Linked DNA regions of Astyanax mexicanus. The protein of the gene in region 1 purifies or fractionates together with the protein of each later gene. This does not show direct contact. Links are inferred from orthologs where the notes say so. Each region holds a gene or a part of one and is shown in the gene's direction. Other genes may lie near its edges.

Region 1 (7,307 bases):
AGACTGTGTCGCCACAGCAGCATTTAAGGTGGAATAATAAATTAACAGTATTTAAAGCGGAATAGTAAATTAGCAGCAGTATTAAAGGTGGAATGGTAAATAAATTAGCAGTATATAAGGTGCAATAGTAAATTAGCAAAATATTAGGGGAAATGGTCAATTAGCAGTATTTAAGGTGGAGTAGTAAATTAGCAGTATTTAATATGTAAGGGTAATTTACTAGTATTTAAGGTGGAATAGTAACTTAGCAGAAGCATTAAAGGCACAATAGTAAATTATCAGCAGCATTTAAGGCGGAATGGTAAATTAGCAGCAGCATTTAAGGTGGAATAGTAAATTAGCAGAAGCATTTAAGGCGGAATAGTATATAAATTAGCGGTATTTAAGGCGGAATATAATTCAGCTGCATTTTTTGGTGAAATAGTAAATTAGCGGTATATAAGATGCAAAAGTAACTTTGCAGCAGTATGTAAAGCGGAATTGTAACTTTGCAGCAGCATTTAAGGAGGAATGGTCAATTAGCAGCAGCATTTAAAGCGGAATAGTATATAAATTAGCGGTATTTAAGGTGGAATTCACTCCAACTCACTATTTACACTTATTTGTTTGGAATGTATGATCAATAGACCTCATTAACATTAAATTATACACTATCTTGAGTACAAATAAGCAGAAATTCTGGATTATTTTGACTAATAATTAAAGAAGTCGCTTATGTTTACTCTCCCCCCCGCCTAATTGCCTAATTACCACACACACACACACACACACACACACACACACACACACACACACACACACACACACACACACACACACAGATTCTAATATTAACATGAAAAAAACTCTGATATAAAGCAGAACAAACGCTCAGCGTGCTCATAACTTACAGTATCAGATGAACACGAGCTCCTGTAATTAGCTAAACACAGGTGTGCAGCTCCAGGTGCAGGTCAGATGGAGGGACAACGGCAACAGCCAATCACACGTTAGCAACAAACGGCAGAGCCAATCACAAGGCTCGTGGGCGGTCTAAAGGGAAACAGGCCGTTTCCGCTTGGTCCTAATTCTTTTTTTTATTATTACTATGATTATTTTGTCATTTTTGTATTAATCCACTACTTTTTACATACCCATTGCATTGGGAGTGTCTGTTTAAAAAAAATATATATATATATATATATATTTGATATCGACTTTTTTATTTCATAAGCTATTGCTGAAGGTATTTTTTTAAGTGTTCTAAAAGCTGCTGTTTTTCCCCAGTGCATTGGGCAGGGCTAAACTTCAGTTCCAATGGCTTGTAAACTTTTTTATTTTCTGGTTCATGGTCTATTCCCATGGACAAAATGTCTCAAAAGCTCTATCCGAAAGAGATTTGTTTCTCAGCAGGTTCTGGGGTATTTTTCTCTTTTATGGGGGGTTTATTCATCTGGGACGTTTTTCTCAGACGTCCTCTGAGAAAATTACAGGCTGAATTATCTACTGTTTTTCTCTGAACTCCGTGCTCCTCCGGTAATTTTAGTCCCGTCCGGACGCACATCTCTGAGTTTCGTCTTCTCACGTTTAATACAATAGCTATTTGTCCACTGCCGCGCACCGTAATTACACTTTCGGCACGCCACAGTTTCCACAGAGATCCACATTAAAAACACAACAGTGAGCGGAAATGGAGGAGCTACTGAACAATACTCATGTCATGTGCCGAGAAAAAAAAGCCTAAAAACTTACTGGTCCTCTTGTTTTTTCGATTACAGTCTAAATGCAGGAGTTTTATCACTGTATAAATATATTTTTTCAATATTTTTCACAGACGTCCCCCAGAGAGACTATTCCCGTCCAGATAGGGCTAAAGAGTGTTATGCACCACAGAACATTTTAAGAACAAATGAAAATAGATGCAGTCCATTGTAATGGACGCAGGTTATGAAAGGGTTAATTGGGGGGTAAGACCCCCAAAATCCTCCATCATAACTTGCGCCATGGTTGGTAGCAGTTAACTATTAGTTAATTAATAAAACCACTAGCAATACATGCAAAAACATAAAAGTCTAATAAGATTTACGGTTCTAATGTTATTAAAAAAACATTACTCAACTAATGCATGTCTTATTCACTTCATTCTCTCAGAGTAGTGCAAAGTAAACCTCCTGTTTTTTATTATAATAGATCAAAAATATAAGCAAAAGGATTTTCCAAATAGCATCTATTTTTACCAGACGAAAAAACACTCGAATGCATGTCAATTCGTAATTACGACTCCCAAATTCGTAAGTAGGAATTTCTGAGTAAGACTTGAAGGCATCATTAGTTTCATCCACCCTGCGCTCACAAGTGCTGTAAGCCTTGCTGAACCATACTGTCTTGTATGGATTTTTTCTCTTTTACATCACAATATCTTTATTTTGCTGGCTGCATTTCACAAAACATAAAACTGAAAAGACGTGAAAACTGGAATAAAGGTTGGACTGGTCCTTTAACAGACTTTTATCCCACTAATGTGATGCTAAAGCACCAGGTCAGGGCTCCTCCTCACAACCTGCGTCACTAATAATGGAGCGTTCGATTCACTTTACTGAATCGATTCTCTGGAACTGTATGTTTTAATGAGCCGAATGTCTGATTTAATCAATTTACTGATTCTTAATTCCCAGCCTAGTATGAAGATGATGCATGTAGAGATTCGAGACATATGTTTGAAATAAGTTACCTTAAATATATTTACATTATTTTAATAAGCATATATGCAGATGAAACAATGTTTGGGAAGGCTTTTCCCCCCTTTATTTCATTACTTTATACTTTAATTGCGTATTTATATATATTATTTTATTTGAATTTACAGACAAATCTATACTGGAAAATACTGTAAAATTGTTAAAAATTATACGGCATCTCGCCATCTGTCTGAATACCAGAGGAGACGAAAGAATCCTCCTCTAAAAAGCTTCCAGAGATCCTGGAAATGTTTTAAAGATGTTGGCATTACATCACTCTGGCTACGCCCACAAAACACCTGAGCACCTGACACTTGTGTATGTGTAGAAATAATTCAACTTTATTAAAACACTTATGTGACTGTAGAACATATATATCATTACTTACATATGTTCCACATTTAACAGGATGACCATATATCTGCTGACTGTTTGGAGGTGCAGGAGAAGAGAAGTAGGAAAGGAGGAGGAGAAGAAGAGTAGGAAGGGAGGAGAAGACGAGAAGGAAAGAAACAGGAGAAGAAAAAGAGAAGGTAAGGAAGAGGAGAACTAGGAAAGGAGAAAGGATAAAAAGGATTAGGAAAGGAGGAGAGAAGAAGTAGGAAAAGTATGAAAGGAGGAGGAGAGGAGGAGAAGGAAAGGAGGAGATGAGGAGAAGTAAAGAAGGAAGAATAGGAAAGGGAGAAAGGGAGGAGGAGAGAAGGAAAGGAGAAGGAGTAGGGAAAGAAGAAGGAGAAGAGGAAGAGGAGAAAAGGAGGAGTAGGAAAGGAGGAGGAAAGAAGGATTTGGGAAGGAGGAGGAGAAGAAAGAAAGGAAGAGGAGGTGAGGAGGAGAAAAGGAGAAGCAGGAGGAAAGGAGGAGAAAAGGAAAGGAGGAGAGGAGGAGAAGGAAAGGAAGAGTAGGAAAGGAGAAGGAGGAGATGAGAAGAAGTAAAAGGAGAAGAACATGAGGAGGAGGAGGAGGAGGAGGAGGAGGAAAGGGAGAGTAGCAAAGAAGAAGGAGGAGGGGAGGAGACGGAAAGGTGGAAGAGAGGAGGAGTAAGAAAGAAAAAAGGAGAAGAGGAGTAGGAAAGAAGGAAAAGACAAGAAGAATAGAGGAAGAAAATGAGGAGGAGAAGGAAAGGATGGACTCATAAGAGCCGATTCAGAAGAACCGATTCAAAAGAACCGATTCACAGGAGCCGATTGGACTCGTTCATGCGTCACGGTGCTCCTGTCCCTCTCCCTCTCTCAGACATGGCTCCATAGGACTGCACATGGCGGCCAGCGGCCATGAACCCCCCAAAAAAGAGAAAACACACCAATAACTCACCAAAAAACAGCTAATAACAGCTGTTTATTCACTGATTCATCTCCTCCAGCAATATTCGGCTCAGTCTGTTTCTCCGGTGCAGGAGGAGCAGCAGCAGGAGCTCCTCTCTGCTCCTTTAATCCGGTTTATTCAGCTTTATTTCGCTTTATTTAGGATTTTATTTTTTATTAAAAACGCACTGAATCATCATGGGGGTCCAAGGTTTCCAGGAGTACATCGAGAAGCACTGCCCGAGCGCCGTGGTGCCGGTGGAGCTGCAGAAGCTGGCCCGGGGGAGTCTGGTCGGCGGCGGCAGGCAGAGGCCGCCCCAGTCGCCGCTCCGGCTGCTGGTGGACGCGGAGAACTGCCTGCACCGGCTGTACGGCGGCTTCTACACGGACTGGGTCAGCGGCGGGCAGTGGAACCACATGCTGGGCTACCTGGCCGCCCTGGCTAAAGCCTGCTTCACCGGCAACATCGAGCTGCTGGTCTGCTTTAACGGAGCCCTGGAGAAAGGCCGCCTGCACGAGTGGGTCAAGCGGCAGGTGAACGAGCGGCAGACCGCCCAGCAGATCATCAGCCACGTCCAGAACCGCGGAACCCCGCCGCCCAAGGTCTGGTTCCTGCCCCCGGTCTGCATGGCCCACTGCATCCGCCTGGCGCTGCTCAGATTCCGGATAGGAGTGAGTAGCCTAGCCGCTGTGGAGCCCGGCCTCGCCGGAGGATGTTTATGTGTTTACTAACTTACATCTAAATAACACTTTTTAATTTAACTTTCTTTAGATTTTAGTCTTAAATAAGCACTTTGAGCCTTTTAAAATCTTATGTAAGAGATGACAAAATATACTTTTTTTGGAAAAATCCATAAATCCATTAAAACACCACCTTATACCTGAGCTGGGTTGATTTTTCATAATGTAGGTTTAGAGCCAGGCTCATAAATGCTGACTTGAGACTTAAATTGTGAGTTTTAGTTAGATAAGTTTCAAATCAGGCTTTATGAGCATTTATGATCCATTCACAATCTTTTATATAAGAGATGACTATAAACATCCTTTATAAAAAATCCATCAAAACATCATCTTAGAACTGTGTTGATTTTCCATAATCAGCCCTAAAATATGTAGGTTAGCCAATGTCTCTAGCTTATTATATCTAGCTAACACTTAAATAAACATATTTTTCATAATGTAGGATTAGAGTCATCCCTTATATAAGATTTTCAATGAATCATAAAGGCTTATAAAGGCTGGTTTGAGACTTAAATTGTGAGGTTTTAGCTAGATAATTCTCAAATAAGCCTTTATGATCCATTCAAAATCTTATATAAGAGATGACTCTAAATATACTTCATGAAAAATCCATAAATCCATCAAAACACCAGCCTAGACTATAACTGTGTTGATTTTTTTATATTCTGCCTTAACATATGTAACTAGGTGTATCTAGCTAACATTCACAATTTTAGTCTCAAATCAGAATTTTTAAAGCCTTTTTGGTCCATTTAAAATCTTATATAAGAGATGACAAAATATACTTTTTTTTGGAAAAATCCATAAATACATCAAAACACCAGCTTAGACTATAGCTGTGTTGATTTTTCATAATGTAGGTTTAGAGCCAGGCTCATAAATGCTGATTTGAGACTTAAATTGTGAGTTTTAGTTAGATAAGTTTCAAATCAGGCTTTATGAGCATTTATGATCCATTCACAATCTTTTATATAAGAGATGACTATAAACATCCTTTATAAAAAATCCATCAAAACATCATCTTAGAACTGTGTTGATTTTCCATAATCAGCCCTAAAATATGTAGGTTAGCCAATGTCTCTAGCTTATTATATCTAGCTAACACTTAAATAAACATATTTTTCATAATGTAGGATTAGAGTCATCCCTTATATAAGATTTTCAATGAATCATAAAGGCTGATTTGAGACTTAAATTGTGAGGTTTAGCTAGATAATTCTCAAATAAGCCTTTATTATCCATTCAAAATCTTTTTGTTTTAACACAGCTAAATCTGGACAGTTTTAGTTCTAATCCCATTTTTGGTTGCATTTTACCCAACTAGTTAGTCTGTTTACCATCAAAATACCAGCTGAAACCTGAGCCGTGTTAATTTTTCATAATGTAGATTTACAGTCATTCCTTATATAAAGATTTTAATGGATCATAAAGGCTGATTTGAGACTTAAATTGTTAGTTGTAGCTAGATACGTTTTAAATAAGCCTTTATGAGCCTTTACGATTCATTTAAACCCTTATAGAAGAGATTACCATAAATATACTTTATGAAAAATACATCAAAATACCATTTTAGGCTTGAGCTGGGTTGATTTTTCATGAGTAATCTAAAAAAAATTTAACCTATTTTATGGTAAAAGTCTAAGATGGTATTTTGATGGTCCAAGTGTTTGTTATTCCTGCTTGAACACAGCTGAATCTGCACACTTTTAGTTCTAGACTCTGTTTACCATTAAAAGACAAGCCTAGGCTTGAACTGGATTGATTTTTCATAATGTAGATTTAGAGTTATCCTTTATATAAGGTTTTCAATGGGTCATAAAGGCTCAAAAAGCTGATTTTAGACTTAAATATTGTATTTTAGCTAAATATACTAAGATAATGTGCAGAGAGTCACTAGCTAGGTTTAACCAATGTTCTTTACTCTATCATGGTGGGTTTAGAAGTTAAACTGTGCAAAATCAGGTGTGTTAAAGCCAGAATAACCAACAGTTTAACCATCAGAAGACCAGCTTAGACTTGAGCTGGGTTGATTTTTATGATTAACCTTTAAAATATGTAACTAACTAGGTTAGCCAATGCTTGTAGCTAGTATATCTAGCTAACATTCATGATTTTAGTCTCAAAACAGATTTTCTGAGCCTTTTTGATTCATTGAAAATCTATAAAAGGGATGACCATAATTCTAAGATGCTCTTTTGATGGTGAAAGTGTCGGTTATTCCTGCTTTAACTCACCTGATTTTGCACAATTTAACTTCTAAACCTACCTAGACTTGAGCTGTGTTGATTTTTCATAAATCGTAGGTTTAGAGTCATCCCTTATATAATATTTTCAATGGATCATAAATGCTCAAAAAGGCTGATTTTAGACTTAAATATTGCATTTTAGCAAGATATACTAAGATAATGTACACAGAGTCACTAGCAATGGTTTAAAATGGTTTAGAAAATAAATAAATTGTGCAGAATTAGGTGTGTTAAATTGGGAATTACCAGCACTTTGACCATTAAAAGACCAGCTTAGACTTGAGCTGTGTTGATTTTTCATG
Region 2 (7,568 bases), on another chromosome or scaffold:
TCAGCACCAGAGTGAAGAAATACTGGATTATTTGACCCAATATATAACTGTTCCCCATAAATCACAGCGAGGCTTTGGACTCCTGCAGTCCCCATGCAGCTCCCGGAAAAAAGGACGTCTTTCTTGTGGCTACTGATTCAGTGGAGTGGAGCCACGACCATTCAAAACTAGGTTCGGGGGTTTTTGTTGCCCGAAAGGTTTTTAATTTGTGTGTTTTAATATATTCATTATATGTTATATTGTATTAAAACGTGAGATATAAACGTGAATAATCATAATTTAATAGGAACGGTGAAATATATTATTTTAAATTATATTAAATATCATGCCTCAAAATCTCAGATCTCCCCCTCTTTTCCAGTGACTTTGGTTTCTTCCAAAAGTCTGTTGATGAGAGCACGGGCGGAGCTGGACTGGAGAAACAGGGCCGGTGTTCTGTCGAATTCTGCTACCTTGTCGAACCGTGCTGCCCCAATGTATATTTAACTGTAAAAATACAAAAGAAGCACTGTTTTAGGGCATGTACCCAGTGATATTCCAGTAGATGTACGTTATTAGATTTGGATTGCATAATTCATTGTACCATGGCAAAGTTATAGTAAATATAGCTCATTACAAACTGCTTTTGTATTTATTTATGATAATAAGTGTAAATTTTAGTTTCCATTTACACTTTTGTGCAATGACAGTGCGTCCAGGTTGTTTAATGCACATAAACCCCCCTAATCCAGATTAATTATACATAAAACACGAGAAAGAATTAAATTGTGTAGGTCGGCGCATGCGCAGTACCTTTGGGAAGCATGTATCGATGGGTAGGAAAATTGACAGAACACCGGACTAAAAAAACTGTTCTTAACACACCTTGGGCTGAACAGCTGTATTCACTCAGTCGCAGTTAAATAAACTCACTGGCCATTTAGGAATCACTTAGACCAGAATTATAATAGAATAAACAATAAAATAATAAAATGTTATATAAAATCTAAAAAAAAAAAATCACCAGTGTCAGTGGCTGTCTTTACACTACAAGCCTCAAGTGTTTTTTTATTTTATATAAATTAACCTTTTTGTCAAACAGCACACATGCTCTCAGTATTTTTTGGCTGCTCTGCCAATGCTGGCTGATAATGACAGCACTAAGGGCATGAATACTGGCAAACAGATGCATGAAATCCACAAATAAAGAAATATGAAATTTGCAGTGGCCTTTTTTATGCCCAATCAGTTTGAAGACTGAGAACATATGTCTGCACTCCCCTCCAAAGGAATTGGGCGGAAAAAGCATTATTAAAAGATGAATAATGAAGACTGGGAATTGGAAATCAGTTAATTACAACTTTGTCAGTGTGTCCAGGCCCGGAGTGGCTAATCGAGAGATTCGTGAGGATTCCCGATGGGCCGGCTGTGTCTGCTGTGTACCTTGGGGAAGATGTGGGCAGTTATTAAGGAGTATATCTATGCTGGTGTTTTACCGGAGTCAAGCTATCCGCGCTTCGGAAATTCCTAGTCAAGTCATCCGCGCTTTAATCTTTGATGGGCGTATACGCGCGATTTTACGGTAAACAGACGCGCAGGAGGAGAGCACACACAGAGAAGGGGAGACAGACACGTTTCAATCGGTTAACTTATATTAATTCAGACATACATTAAGCCCAGAAACGAGAAGAAAACGGGTTAAAATAACTCACCTCACTGTAGATTTTGTGCAGTACATTATCTATGTGATATAATACCATAACAATCCCATCGGTTTTTAAGAGAGAGAGAGAGAGTTTTATATTAATATTACTTTTTCAATCCATGCTTCAAATAAAATTTCTCATGAGTTTCCCAAAAGGCCAAAACAGATCCAGTACCTCTTAAAAGAGTCCATCCTAGACTATTACCTCTGCAAATTTGGGCAAATTGCACTGTATTGTTTATTTTATATTAATAAAAAAAATGTATGCATGTTTAAAATTAAATTTCTCATGATTTTTCCATAATGCCAAAACAGATCAATGACCATTTGAAAGAGTACAACATAGGCTATGACTCCTGCAAGTTTTGGCAAATGTCACTGTATTGTTTATTTTATATTCATTTTTTTATTTTTTATTCATGCTTAAAATTAAATTTCTCATGATTTTCCCATAATGCCAAAACAGGTCCACTACCATTTGAAAGAGTCTGTCCTAGGCTATCACCTCTGCACGTTTGGGCAAATTTCACTGTATTGTTTATTGTTTATTTTATATATATATATATATATATATATATATATATATATATATATATATATATATATATATATATATATATATATTTTTTTTTTTTTATTCATGTTTAAAATTAAATTACTCATGATTTTTCCATAATGCCAAAACAGGTCCATGACCATTTGAAAGAGTACAACATAGGCTATGACTCCTGCAAGTTTGGGCAAATTTCACTGTATTGTTTATTTTATATTATATTATTTTTATTTTTTATTCATGTTTAAAATTAAATTACTCATGATTTTCCCATAATGCCAAAACAGGTCCATGGCCATTTGAAAGAGTACAACATAGGCTATGACTCCTGCAAGTTTGGGCAAATTTCACTGTATTGTTTATTTTATATTAATTTTTTTATTTTTTATTCATGCTTAAAATGTAATTTCTCATGATTTACCCATAATGCCAAAACAGGTCCATTACCATTTGAAAGAGTATTTTCTAGCCTATGACTCCTGCAAGTTTGGGCAAATTGCACTGTATTGTTTATTTTATATAATTTTTTTTATTTTTTATTCATGCTTAAAATTAAATTTCTCATGATTTTCCCATAATGCCAAAACAGTTCCACTACAATTTGAAAGAGTCTGTCCTAGGCTATGACCACTGAAATTTTGGGTAGATTTTACTGTATTGTTTATTTTATATTATTATTATTTTTTTAATCCATGCTGTAAATGAAAATTCTCATGATTTTCCAATAATGCCAAAACAAAGAAAACAAAAAGGTCCACTTAACTGTTCCACCATTAAACTGCTCAGCATATTTCTAAACAGTCTAGTCTAGAAATCACCTGTTAAAGACACCTGTGCTAGAAACAGGGGGTGTGAGTTTAAAACCATCACCTTAAATCCAATACCTCAAGTGCAAGGGGCTATCTATAGTGAAACCTGCAGAAATACGCAGTGCTGATAGCCTGAGGAACTGATAGGACTGCCTCACAGTGGCCCTGTGATGGCTTATTGGAGAAAGACTTTACATCTGATACTAGCAAGTATTAAAAATAAACAAAACAGTGAAATTTGCCCAAACCTGCAGAGGTGATAGCCTAGGACAGACTCTTTCAAATGGTACTGGACCTGTTTTCAAGGATTCAAGGAGATTTTACTGTCATTCGTATCACATTTGGTTCATGAGGTGGAACGAAATTGTGATCTCACGATTCAGTTTACACCCAAGAGCTGTTGTTAAAATAGATATATAAATAAAGTAAGACAACAAAATAAAAGAATACAATAAAAATAGAATATAACAAAATGAAGATAAGATAAAATAAACAAAACAGTACAACTTGCCCAAACTTGCAGGAGTCATAGCCTAGGACAGACTCTTTCAAATGGTCATGGATCTGTTTTGGCATTATGGGAAAATCATGAAAAAAAAATATTTTAAGCATAAATAAATTTTTTTTAATTATTATAAAATAATCAATACAGTAAAATTTGCCCAAACTTGCAGAGGTGATAGCCTATGTTGTACTCTTTCAAATGGTCATCGACCTGTTTTGGCATTATGGGAAAATCATGAGAAATTTAATTTTAAGCATGAGTAAAAAATAATAAAAAATTAATATAAAATAAACAATACAGTGAAATTTGCCCAAACTTACAGAGGTGATAGCCTAGGACAGACTCTTTCAAATGGTAGTGGACCTGTTTTGGCATTATGGGAAAATCAGGAGAAATTTAATTTTAAACATGAATAAAAAAGGGAACGCGGTGTGTGTGTGTGTGTGTGTGTGTGTGTGTGTGTGTGTGTGTGTGTGTGTGTGTGTGTGTGTGAGGTGGAGAGAGAGAGTAACGCACAGTGACACAGGATAAGTAACTTTAATCTGATTACTGCATTGGATATAGTAACACGTTAGATTACTCGTTACTGACATCACTGGACATAAGTACGTAAAGACATGTGACGTGGCCAGAAGAACACCTGCGACCGACACCCCAGTTTTAAAATTAATATATTAGGCTTAGCAGGGATGGTTGGCAGGGGCGTAGCAGCAAATTCTGGGCCCTGTACACTCTCAATGTCAGTGGGCCGCTATCCATGCCAGTACACAAGGAACATGAGCGAAAAAAAAAAATCTGGACTTTTCATGGGCCCCTCTCCCTACTTCCTTGATAGTCAGGTCCACTTTTCCTCCCACTACCACGCCCATGTGGAGTGTTACAGACAAGCAGCTCTCCAGCCCAGAAGGTTGATGAACAAACTTGCAGAACAGTAGATCTCAAAACAAGATGAAAGGAGAAAAAATAAACAGAAATGGGATTGAGCCGTAGTGTACTTGTTACTTGACTTCCCACCTCAGGCCAGGAAGAGGACTTTTATTTTGAAGTGTGAGCCGCTGCGTAGGTCTCTGTAGCTAGGGAACCTGCGCAGACCGATTATTTATGGAAGCTAAACTACATGACTGCAACAGAATTAACGTTAGTGTTTTCGGTGTCATTGCGGTTATCTGTTGAGAAATTTAAAACGTTATTTAATTAACTAAAGGTACGCTAAGCTCATTTGTGCAGCTCTGCGGTTTCCATTTCTGAAATCCAGTGGAGAGAACAGCTGCAGTAAAGCTAAACCCTCGGCTAGCTTGCAGGGCTAGCACAACAGCGGCTTCAATATGGAGGAGATCACCAGGACGCCCTCATATCTCGACGAGCCCCCAAATAGTCGGTTGTTTCTTGTTACCAGCAAATCCATCACCGAAGATATAATCCGGGAGCATTTTTCCACTTTCGGAGACATCCAGGACATTTGGGTTGTAAAAGACAAACACACGAAAGAGTCGAAGGGCGTGTCGTTTGTTAAATTCTCCAAGTCTTCTCAAGCATGCACTGCGATGGAGGAGATGCACGGTAGATGCCTGGCTGAAGGAACCAAACCCATTAAGGTGTGAATTTATTTCCATTTGAGTTTTTTTGTTCTCCGTTTTATTGTGGAGCGGTTTGCATTCTATTGTAGCTAGCTTAGCTGAGAAAGCTGTTATGGAAAAGCTCTGTCTCCAGTAGGGCTATTATACGCGATAATACCGATAATATTTTTTAATATCGTGAACGATATTATACCCTGAAATATCGTGCTGTCACCCACCTCTAATTATCACTTTTTATACTACTTTTTTTGCAGTGTTAAGCATATAAAAAATCACACTGTTCTCATTTCCTTTTATGTATCTACTAGAGACGTGTAAGATTGTTTTTTTTTTTTTCTTATTTTAGAATTATTGATCTTAATCAGTCTATAATCACTCTTAATCCGTCTATAATTTCCCCCTTAGTTTACAAAATTAATTAAAAATAAGAACTGGATTCTTGAATCCAAATGTAAGCCAAAAGATCAGTGATATTTGCCCGATTAAAGTCTTACTTCAGTCATTTACGAAACTTTTTGTCTAGTTTTTTTTTTTTTTGCCAATGGATTTTTTACAGTGTAGTCATCTGTTTTTTTTTTTTTTTTTTTTTTTTTGCTTGAACAGGTATTCATTGCCCAGTCCAGGTCTTCTGGAAGCCACAGAGACGTGGAGGATGAAGAGCTGACCAGGATCTTTGTAATGATCCCAAAAACCTTTACTGAAGATGATCTGAAAGAGACTTTTAAGGTACTACCTGGACTAGGGCTGCATCAACATGTGTGTTTGTGACATACACAGCTGATGTTCAGTAATAACACTTTTATTTAATATTTATATAATCCCTAAACTAGAACCACCTAGTGTAGCATTGTGGAGAAATTTTTTAGATTTTTGCTTTTACATGCTTCACACAAAATTGCCATTGCAAAGCACAAGAGTGTGCCCAACTAGAAACAAGACACAGGAGAATAGGGGATAGCTCAAGGGCAGATTTTATCAGCTGCAGTGACAAAGCTACTAGAGCTTGAAAATAAAACGTTTCCTAACAAAAAACATTAAGCAAGAAAACATTGATTTGCCTGGAGTGAAGATAATGGATGGCAATGAAGAAAAGGAAATAATATAATGCACTAAACTAAGAGTAAACCCAAACCTCGGCCCTAAGTATCTGACTAAATTTACAATAAGCAGTGGCAGCCATGTATCTCTTAGTGTCTCTAGACCAAATCTCCAAGGCTCCATAAGCTTCCTAAATAACATAAGTTAAAAAAAACAATGTGGAAACAATATAATAATAAAAAAAATCTACCCCTTCTTCAAACAGCTGCATCTGTCTGTCATTAGGTAGAGTGTTACAGTAAAATAAAATCATAAACATGGCACAAAATAGGAAAACTGAAAGGGAGTGAGCAGAAAAAAACAACCCAACGCTCCGACACGTAACAAGAGGATATGGAACGAGAAAATGAAAGAGTAAAATTAAGAAGTTAATTATAAAAGCCTGGCATCGCTTAAACATCTTGCTCTTCCAGAACACAATAAATCTGTCACTGAATATTTTCACACTTAATCAAACCTTTAGTGTGATTATCTGTCTTATGCACTGTTATTCAATCCCAATAGTAGTAGAAAACATTGTAAAGGCTTATTGAGTGTCTATGCAGGGCAATGATTATTAGGAACACACTCTAGCTCATTTCAGCATTTTAGTGATTTTTTTTTTTTCTTCTTCAATTTACTGATGAGTGGAATCAAGTGTGCTTCAGCAGAATAAAACAGTGTCTAACTCCTACTGAACAGGAATAAATGACCCCTGGTTTCAGTTAGTCTCATTAATATTTTCTGTCAATAATCATATGGCTTTAGATTAATCATAATTGAACACATTTTAACTATAGAAAATTCATCCTCTATTTGCTATTCACTTGTGTGTGTTTGTGTATGGGCTCTGCGTGAAATAAAATCTCAACAGAACTTGTTCTAGATTTTATAGTAAGTTAGTTGTATTTCACAACCATGATGCATTCCATTGTTTTTCCTTTACAGCCCTATGGAGATATCGAGTATGCAATTATTATTAAAAATAAAACTACAGGGGAGAGTAAAGGACTGGGCTATGTGCGGTTTCACAAACCCTCCCAAGCAGCCATGGCTATTGAAAACTGTGACAAAAGTAAGCGGCATGATTATTCTTTTCCTTTACAATTAATCCTGTTATCCTGTTTACGAACGATCCTGTTTAACAATGAAAATTTAATGGACCTTTTTGGATTCATCCAGGTTTTCGAGCCATACTTGCTGAACCTCGGACAAAAAATTCATCTGCCGAGGGAGATTGTCTCACCAGCTCAAGACCGGATCATGTAGCAAGCGAGCAATGCTTAAGTGCCTATTCTTTTGGTAAGTATTTAGCTCATGATAATGCAGTTACTCTGACAGTTTTCTGTAAGGTAAATGTTGT

Evidence for each region. Proteins that work in one complex are often made in the same cells at the same time.
Region 2: the proteins of constitutive coactivator of PPAR-gamma-like protein 1 (region 1) and rbm45 purify together in Homo sapiens (co-immunoprecipitation; 3 studies listed by BioGRID and IntAct, with this or other methods). This does not show direct contact. The link is inferred for Astyanax mexicanus from reciprocal best matches to the Homo sapiens genes FAM120A and RBM45.

Annotation. Positions count from the first base shown.
Region 1 is NC_064431.1:32,841,279-32,848,585, forward strand, and holds the start of constitutive coactivator of PPAR-gamma-like protein 1, read left to right. Parts: upstream 1-4,216; coding exon 4,217-4,690; intron 4,691-7,307. UniProt on the Homo sapiens protein: Component of the oxidative stress-induced survival signaling. May regulate the activation of SRC family protein kinases. May act as a scaffolding protein enabling SRC family protein kinases to phosphorylate and activate PI3-kinase.
Region 2 is NC_064418.1:32,369,564-32,377,131, forward strand, and holds the start of rbm45 (RNA-binding protein 45), read left to right. Parts: upstream 1-4,463; 5' UTR 4,464-4,876; coding exon 4,877-5,146; intron 5,147-5,731; coding exon 5,732-5,854; intron 5,855-7,153; coding exon 7,154-7,280; intron 7,281-7,387; coding exon 7,388-7,507; intron 7,508-7,568. UniProt on the Homo sapiens protein: RNA-binding protein with binding specificity for poly(C). May play an important role in neural development.